2 linked regions of the Coturnix japonica genome follow. The protein of the gene in region 2 purifies or fractionates together with the protein of the main gene of each other region. This does not show direct contact. Links are inferred from orthologs where the notes say so. Each region holds a gene or a part of one and is shown on either strand. Other genes may lie near its edges. The genes, in order: CAMKV and SDC2.

What was found.
Region 1: the proteins of SDC2 (region 2) and CAMKV purify together in Homo sapiens (affinity purification with mass spectrometry; 3 studies listed by BioGRID and IntAct, counting the BioPlex papers as one, with this or other methods). This does not show direct contact. The link is inferred for Coturnix japonica from reciprocal best matches to the Homo sapiens genes SDC2 and CAMKV.

What each region holds. Positions count from the first base shown.
Region 1 is NC_029527.1:1,485,178-1,489,578, reverse strand, and holds the start of CAMKV (caM kinase-like vesicle-associated protein), read left to right. Parts: upstream 1-1,312; 5' UTR 1,313-1,432; intron 1,433-3,804; 5' UTR 3,805-3,818; coding exon 3,819-3,913; intron 3,914-4,401. UniProt on the Homo sapiens protein: Does not appear to have detectable kinase activity.
Region 2 is NC_029517.1:114,934,311-114,938,774, reverse strand, and holds the start of SDC2 (syndecan-2), read right to left. Parts: upstream 2,910-4,464; 5' UTR 2,646-2,909; coding exon 2,586-2,645; intron 1-2,585. UniProt on the Homo sapiens protein: Cell surface proteoglycan which regulates dendritic arbor morphogenesis.

The sequences.
Region 1 (4,401 bases), on a different chromosome or scaffold from region 2:
TTGTGAGTTACACTCCAGGATCCCGGGTGGGCAAAGATTAATAACAGAGCCGTGCGCTGCTTCCAGGCTGTGTGATTAAACTCTTGATTAGAAGCTCAATGTACGGCGCTCTGCTAATTCCCCCGAGCTCACGCGCTGTTAATTACATGGTGTGCGTGGCAGTGAGGCCGGGGCTGTGGGGGCTCTGGGTCTTGACAAGGGTCTGTGAGCAGTCAGGGCGAGAAGGACGGAGCCTGAAGGAAAGTGCCCAGCTCCAGCAGGGTTGCACTCTTCCTATTCCATCCCATTCCATCCCACCCATCTTTATTCTGTTTAATCCATCCCACCTTGTGCTGTCCTATCCTATTTTATCTTATCCTATCCCATCCCACTCATCCCACCTTGTCCCACCTCATCCATCCCATCCCATCTAACGCATACCATTCCATCCCATCTCTTCCACTGTCCTATCAGATCCTGTCCTGACCCATCCTACCCATTCCATCCCAGCCATACCACTCATCCCATCGCACCATCCCATCCACCCCATCCTATCTCATTCATCTACTTCCATCCCATCCATCCTATTAGCCCCATCCCAATCATCCCAATCCATACCATCGATCCCTCTCTATCCCATCACACTCACCCTATCCAACCCCTCCCAATCATCCCAATCCATATTATCCATCCAACTCCAGCTCATCACATCAATCCCATCAAATCCATCCCAATCCATCCTATCTCCTCCAAATGTCCTGTCCCGTCCTATCACACCTCATCCACCCCATCCCACCCGTTCTGATCCATCCCACCCCATCCTGTCCCATCCTACGCACACCATTCCATCCATCCCATCCCATTACACCCATTCCATCCAACTCACCTCGGTCCATCTTACTTCCTCTGTCCTACCCTGACCTGTCCTTCCATATCCCATCCATCCCAACTCATCCACCCCATCCCCTCCATCCCATCCCATCCCATCCATCCCATCCCATCCCATCCCATCCCATCCCATCCCATCCCATCCCACCCCACCCCACTCGCTGCCCATGATGTCACTCCGTTGGCTGCAGCTGTCCCAGCGCTCCATCCCTTTAGGTGTCCCCGCATCCCCCCACCCCTCGCGGTGTCACAGCGATGCCACGCACCCCACTCCCGTGGGTGGCGGCTCCCGCACCAAGAGGGGGCGGGTCGCAAAGTTTGGGGTTACGTCACGGGAGGGGCGGGGGGACCCCACCGGAGGAGGGGCGGCACCCGGCGGCCCCACCCCCCCCAATTGCCGCGCCGGGCGCGCGGGGCCGCGCCGCGACGGAGCGACGGCGGTGCTCGGCTCGGCTCGGCTCGGCTCGGCTCGGCTTCGCACCGCTCCGCACCGCCCGGCACCGCGCGGCTCCCCAAGAGCGGCGGCCCCGGGCCGCGCCCCCCGTTGCTGTCGGAGAGGCGAGAGGTGAGCGCGGCGGGACGGCCCCGGGGGGATGCCGAGCCGAGCCGGGCTGAACCGTGCCGCCCTCGGGGCGTGGGGCTGCTGGGCCGGGCCGGGGGCGTCGCTGGGGATCGCCATGTGTTGGCCCGGGGCTGCCCCTCCGTATCCGTGCCTCATCCCCCCGTGCCGTGCCCGTGTGCGCCCCGACGGCCGCCCCGCGCCGCCCCCCGCTGCCGCCTTCCCCGACCCCGGCGGGCGGCCGAGCTGCCGTCCCGTCCCAACCCCGCTCCATCCCCGTCCATCCCATTCATCCCACCGCATCCCGTACCACCTCATCTCGTCCCGTCCCATCGCATCCCACCACACCCCACCCCATCCCATCGCTGCCGGACAAGCTTTGTATCCTTCCCCGCCCGCTCTCCGCTGCTGCAGCCCCCAGCTCGCTCCTGGGCAGATGCATCCTGGTTGGGGGGCACCGGGCTGTAGGGACCCCCCGGCCCCGTCTCTGTCCGCATCCCAGGAGCTCCCTTTGGGTGCAGCGCTGCGGGCTCCCGTAGCCCCTCCACTCTGCTGCCGCCCGCACTGTGGACGCTTGTGTCCGCTTTCCTCTGCTACAGCACTCTCGTGGGATGGGGGGTGCGGCGGGGACCCTCTGGCAGCGCGGCTGGGGGCTGCAGGTGCGAGGGGCTGCAGGTGAGGCTGGCTGAGCTGCAGCTGGGGGTCCCCGAGCCGTGGGGCAGAGCTGAGCTCCGGGATGCTGGGGGGATGCTGGTGAGGGCTGCACGGCTGCGTCATCCCGTCCGCACCCGGCCACCCACCTCCCGCTATTGTCTTACACCCGCTGTTGCTTCTGCTCCCAAATTAGCTGCTTCAGAAGGGGGGGGGGGCCGGCTGCGTGCGGGTGCCAGAGCAGCATCCAGCCTCCCTGCTGCGCCCAGCTCTCACCTGCAGGACATGCCGGGGATGCTGACCCGGGGCAGAGGACGGTGCTCAGCCCGGCAGGATGGCACCCGCTCAGCCAGCAGGAGCTGCTGGGATGGGCGCAGGTCAGCCGAGCGCTTGCAGAGGCAGCAATCAGATCCCTATCTGTCATCCCATCGGGTCCCTGCATGGCTCATCCACGCAGCACGCCGGCAGCTCATCATCCCAGCCCTCCCAGCCGGCCACTGGCTGCGGGGACAGCCCTCGTCCCCTCGCCCAGGGGCAGCGGCACGGCACAGCCTGCGTTGTGTGGCACGGGGACACTCGGAGGAGTCAGGCAGGGCATGTCCCCTGTTGGGCTGAGCCCAGGGAAGCCAGGGAGGCTTCAGCAGGTCTGTAGCTTGGGGTTGAGTTCTTCTGCACCCACGGGTGCTTTGCTTCTCTTTTGGGAGTGGGCGCACTCTGAGTGCGATGGGGCCGGCTGCTCTCACCTGGCACAGGCTGATGCCCTGGTGCTGCACAGCGAGGGGCTCCCATCCCGCAGGCAGGGCTGGATGGAGGCAGCGAGCGCACGATGGAGCATCCCCACACCCCTGCATCTCTGTCCCCACACCCCCCTCGGGGTCACCCACCCCAGGGATCATCCCTGTGCCCGCACATGGTGCCACAGACAAGGCCCCCATCGGGGGTCGGCGCGGCATTGCCGGGGCTGCGCAGCGCAGCAGGTCGGGTGCTGCGGGTGCTGCCCGTCCCTGCCCCCGCCGCAGGATGTGCCGCTTTCTGCATCTTCAGCTCCCATCGCCATAGCAACAGGCTCAGCGCTTGGGTACCCGCCGCGCCGGCTCCTGCATCCCGCTCCGCCATCCTGCCACCGGGACCGGGGCGGCGGGTGCTGGCAGCGCGGTGCGGTGCGGCACGGCACGGCTTGTCATCCCGGGAGCTGGGGGCGATCGGTGCCTCAGGCACCACACCAGCATCCCGTTGGACGTCCCGCTCAGGCTGAGCGGGGCCACGGAGCCCTTCTCTTCCTGAAGCATCAGAAAATAACATCCGTTCAAACTTCCTCCCTGAACGGGATGGGAAAGAGGAAAAAAAAATCACTTTCTGGGAACGGGTTTTTTTGGCAGCAAGCTCCAGAGAAGGGGCTGGGATTGGAGGGATCCTGCCAGGAAGGCAGAGGGCACAACACCATCCCCGAAGGGCAGGGTGGCAGCATGCAGCAGGCGATGCTGGAGCTGAAAAAGCATCACCACAGGGCAAAATGGGGCTGAGGAACCAGTCTACTCGCCACACCACCCGGCGAGCTGCTCATGGCTCTGCCTATGGAATAGATTTGTTACCAAGCTGCAAAGCTGGTGGGGCAGAGCGGCCGGACGCCACGGGGATGGGCTGCACTCTGTCAGGTTTTATGCTGCTCAGGAGGGATGGGTGCGGGCAGCGGGGCTGGGGCTCTCACGGCTCCTCTGCCTCTGCAGCACTGGGCCCTGCGATGCCGTTTGGCTGCGTGACACTGGGGGACAAGAAAGACTACAACCAACCGTCCGAGGTGACCGACAGATATGACCTGGGCCAGGTCATCAAAACGTGAGTGCATCCCTGCCCAGCCCCAGGAGCGCCCATGGGGACCCCCACCCTGCACCTCTTGGGGAGCGCGGTGCCTTTGGGGCTGGGGTGCGTTCCCTCCAACGAGTGCTGATTCCAGGAGGGTTTTTGCCGTCTGCTCTGAGCACAGAATCGCTGCCGGTGCTGAGGCTGCTGCTGCTGCTCGCCGCAGCCTGGCGCCTGCGGTTAACCCTCCCTCCTCCCTCTCAAATATCTGCTGGGATTGCAGCAGTTCCTCAAAATCGCGGCTCCCCGGTGCACTTCCCCAAGGCAGGACCGTCTGCTCCGGCGGTGGCGGAGGAAGGGGCTCTGGGGAAGTTTTCTCACCTCCTGCCTTCTCAAATGCGGCGTTAACAGTAGTGTGGAGGAATGCTGCTGTGCAGCTCAGTATTGATAGTTCTGCAGCATCCATCCGGCCGTGAGCTCTGTGCAGGGACAGGGGCCATCCTGCAGGATGCTCCAGGAGCCCA
Region 2 (4,464 bases):
TAGGAGAGACACTCACAGAATGTAAATCTGAAACATCAGCCATCTCTTCAGCAGTTTTCTCTCCTCCTGTAATTACCATCCCCAAAACCAAGCTGCGTGTTTGAAAACCAAAACAAACATTCACCCTCTCCAACATGGGATCCATTTTCCAGATTCCAAAAGCAAAGTAATGATTAGAAACAAATGCAGAAAAAATTACAGCACCGTGCTTCCAAAATATTAAATATTTCTCAAAAATACACAAATTATTACCCAAGTAATCCTTCAATAATAGCGTATATGTCAACAATCCAGTGCTTAGATGCTTACAAAAGGAACAGACAGACCACATAGTTGATGTTGGTGCTGCAGTGCTCTATTTTAAAGAACACTACGCACACAGTGCTGGGGAGTTGGCATGAAGCAGAGTCCTTTGACTCAAGATACACCACTACACAGGAGGAGAGCCACGACTGTTCTCCCATTTGTGAGAGCAGCAGGATTACAGTGCAGCACACACAGAAACCTGTTTGCCAGCAAGTCTTCCCTGCACCCACCTTGGCTTGCGGAGAGGATCAGAGCATCACACAAGCCCTGGAAAGCCATTAGTCCTACTGATGAGGAGCAGAAAGAAGCAGAAAGGTTTATCAGCCTCGGCAGAATGGGAACTGACAAGGACAGTGAGATACTTGGCACTGCTCTCTGTTGCTATTAAAATCAGCAAGCGTTGACTCCTGCTATCATCAAGACTGAACCCAACCTCATAAAAGACACACCTGACTCACACTTAGAGAGCTGGCCTTTTCTTTTTCCAGCACTTTCACATCACTCTCTTTCCCTCTCCTAAAAGGGAACCAGAAAGAACACCTTTTCCACAATTCACCCAAGCCTGGGTGAGTCTCAAAGTGCCTTCACATCTGCTGATGTTACCAGACCCCACTGATATCCAGCATCTCCCCCTGCACAGCGAAGTACCCTGTGAGCCCAGTGCCATCTGCCAGCTCTGATGTGGGCACTTGCCACCTCCTGCAGCCAGGCACAACAGGGTACAGCTGCCCGGCACCCTCTGCATCCTGATGCCAAGCTGACACCGCACACCACAGTACATCTGCAGCACAAGAGCCAACACCAGGGCACACAGACACGCAGCTCCCTACTACATTCCCAGTATGTTTTTAACGTGATTAACACCAACGGGGTCCACCCCAGTAAATAGCGGGGCTTGGTAGTTACACGAAGCAAACACAGGACATACTTCTTCAAGAATCAAACAAAGGAAAAGAACTTAGGAGCTAAAACCATTTGTCAGTACTCCAAAAGCTTGCAGGGTTGTTGTAAGCATCCAGATAAAATCCAACTTAGGACCAGGACAGCGTTCTGCACAGACAAGATTTAGCATCCGTCTTTTCCCAGACACCAGTCTACAAAACTCCTCCTTAAAGGACCTCGTAGCTGCCGCCAAAGAGGAAAAAAGGAGGGGGGAGAAAAATCCACCTCCCTTCACCTCTCCCATCTGCCCACAACTTTCTGGCAGCAGTCAGGGCGCTGCTCAGGGCCGGCAGCACGGCTCCCCCCGTTCCAGCCGCAGGAGCCTGCTCATCCCAAGGCAAAACCATCCAACTTAATACTTAACTAATGACTGTGGCAGTTGCAGTTACTCCGCCATCAGAGAACTTCGTAACAGTAGCGTTCCTATGAAACTAAAACATACAGCAAGGGGGAGCGCGCATAGCGGGAACGGGAGTCCGGGCTCGACACAACTCGGTCTTAATTAGCCCTCAAGAAAAGCGTTTTGCAATTGTATCCTTCGGAATCACTAATGATGAGGCGGACCGCACGAAAGCTGCGACGGGGCTTATTTATACAATAGCCAGGCAACTTCAAAAGCGAACCCGAGCCGGTGACATTATTTAGTTCAGTGGAGCAGCTCATTTTAATTGGATTAAATTGTCACGGTATTTTAATTTCGGACTGAAACCTCCATTTATTATTTCCTAATATTTGTCCCAACGCTGTAACCGCGTTCTTTTCTCGGCTCCCTCCTCCTCCTCCATCCCCCTCCGCCCCGGCACCGTCCCGAAGCGCCGCCGGCGAAGCCCGAATCCTCTCCCGATCCGCCCGCAGCGCGGGGCGGGAGCGCTGCGCAGAGGAGCGGCTTTTCGGGAGGTACAAATCCCGACAACGGAGTTAATTGCATTAAGCAGAGTTCCCCGCTCAGAGGAGACACTTGTGGCTGCGAGAAGCGTAAACAGCGGCATTATCCGCAGCCAGCCCGGGCGGGGAGGGCAGCCGGGATGGGCGCGCACCCCGCGGGGAAGCGAGGGTCATGGGGCGCGTACCGAGCCGCATAGCCACGGCCAATTAACTCATTAGGTGCCCTCCGTAGCAGCCTGTCGAGCCGCGGGGAACAGGGGGAAGGCGCCGCCGGGGGGACGCGGACCCGCACCTCCTCGGGTCGGGGCGTCGCGGTGAAGTCGGGTCTGGAGGGGCGCTCCCACTGCTCCTATCGAGGACATTCCTCGGGGGCAGCGCTGCGGACGGAGCCCAGGTGGCCGCCCCCGTCCCGTCCTTGTCCCGTCCCCCCGCCCTGCCGCTCGCTCACTCACCGGCTGCCCGGAGGCGCAGGCCACGAAGCTGAGGGTGAGCGCGAGCCACACGCACCGCATTCTTCCCGAGGAGCCGGCGCGGCGGCCGCCTGTGGCCGGGCACAAAGGAGAAAGCGGGGCCGCTGCGCTCGGCAGCGCCCGGGGGCGCGGGGCAGGGCCGCGGGCGCCCTCCGGCCCGTTCCGCTCCGCTGCTGTCGGCGTTCAGCTCCGCGCTGCCCGGCGGCACAACGCTGCCCGGCGGCACAACGCTGCCCGGCTGCTGCTGCTGCTGCTGCTGCTGCTGCTGCTGCTGCTGCTGCTACCTTCTCCTCCTCCTCCTCCTCCTTCTTCTTCTTCTTCTTCGCCGCCCGCTCCTCTCCTTCCTTCCTTCCCTCCCGCCCTCCGCCCCGTGTGCGCGGCAGCGGCAGCGCGGCTCCCAGTTAAACCCCGCAGAAATTCCTGCAGGATTACAACACAGATTGGCAGCTCCCCCAGCCAGTGGAAGGAGGCGGCGCGTCTCCGCCGCCGGCTCTCGCCCCTCGCAAATTCAAGCAACTTTCCACCTTCCCCTCCACCAAAAAAAATAACCACCGCCCCCTCTCTATCCTCTACTCTGCCGTCCTCCCCCCCAGTGGAAAACATGAGAGGGCTGGACCCGGATAGAAGCAGGGACCTGGAAAGTCTCCCTCTGCTGTTTTTTGTTTGTTTGTTTGCTTGCTTGCTTTTTTATCATATAGTTATTTATTTATTTCAAGGGAATTCTTCCCTCTGCTCTGTGTCCTCAACCGCCGGACCGAGCCGCGCTGCCTCTCACATCCTCCCCCAGTTACCTAGAAGGCAGCAATCAGGTGCTGGGAAACAAAAAGGATGAGGCTCATGGGTGCCAAAATGGCAGCTCATTTTGGTTTGCTTTTTTTCCCAGACTTTTCTCAGAAGACCTGAAACTTTTAGGAAATAAGAGAGTGGCTGTGATTTGTGTCTCATACATGGAGCCAGGAAGAATGTCTTCAAAACAAATATTGACAGCACCAAGGATGCGCACTCCAGAAGCGAAGCCAAGAGGTCTTGCTGGGACTGGCCCATGGTGTTTATCATGCAGGGAAAGTGGTAGTATTGCAGAGCTTAGGAGCATCGTTCTGACTCGGGTACCTGTGCCAGTGCGTTTCCACTGCCAAGCGTATCCATGTGTTACATCAGTCACTGGACACAGGAAGGTGAAATATTGCTCTTGATTACAACCAACTGCATTTGATTCAATTCTGAGCTTCAGGCTGTGTTTATAGCCAAACTAAGGTAGTCACAAGGACCATAATGATCACTCTTAGACAAGCCTGTCCCACTCAGAGGACCCCATGGAAGCAAGAAGCATGAGGATCCCAGTGCAGGTGCTTCTCCATGCCCATCGCCTTACCTGCATTGGCCTTTGAGTGGTGCTGAGATCCCATCTGCCTCCAGTCCCTGCTATGGAAACAGAAAAACAAAACCAAAGGTGGTTAATTAAGCACACGCAGTCTGTCGTCTTCCCAGCCTCTCCCAGACAAAGGCACCCCACACATGCCGGTGATACGGCTGTGTCCTGGGGAGCAGCGGGACTCATGTCCCCATGGGGCAGGTGGCCACGTCCTGAGTGTTCCCACTGCCAGGAACGTGATACTTCTCAGCAGCGCTGGCCATGCTATTTCCAGACCTACCTCCCAGACATGCCGTGTCATTGATTTTTAGGCTGCATTCACTGCTGAAATCTCAGCAGATTTTCAATGGTCTACTCCTGGCAGGCGTCATGCACAAACAGGTTGTTTAATAGATTCCTTCTCCTTCAAAGGCCGTTGCAAATATTTAGGGCCAGTTCTGTGTATTCTCTTCTTTGACGGGTGGTTGGATTGCAACCTAACAAACTGAG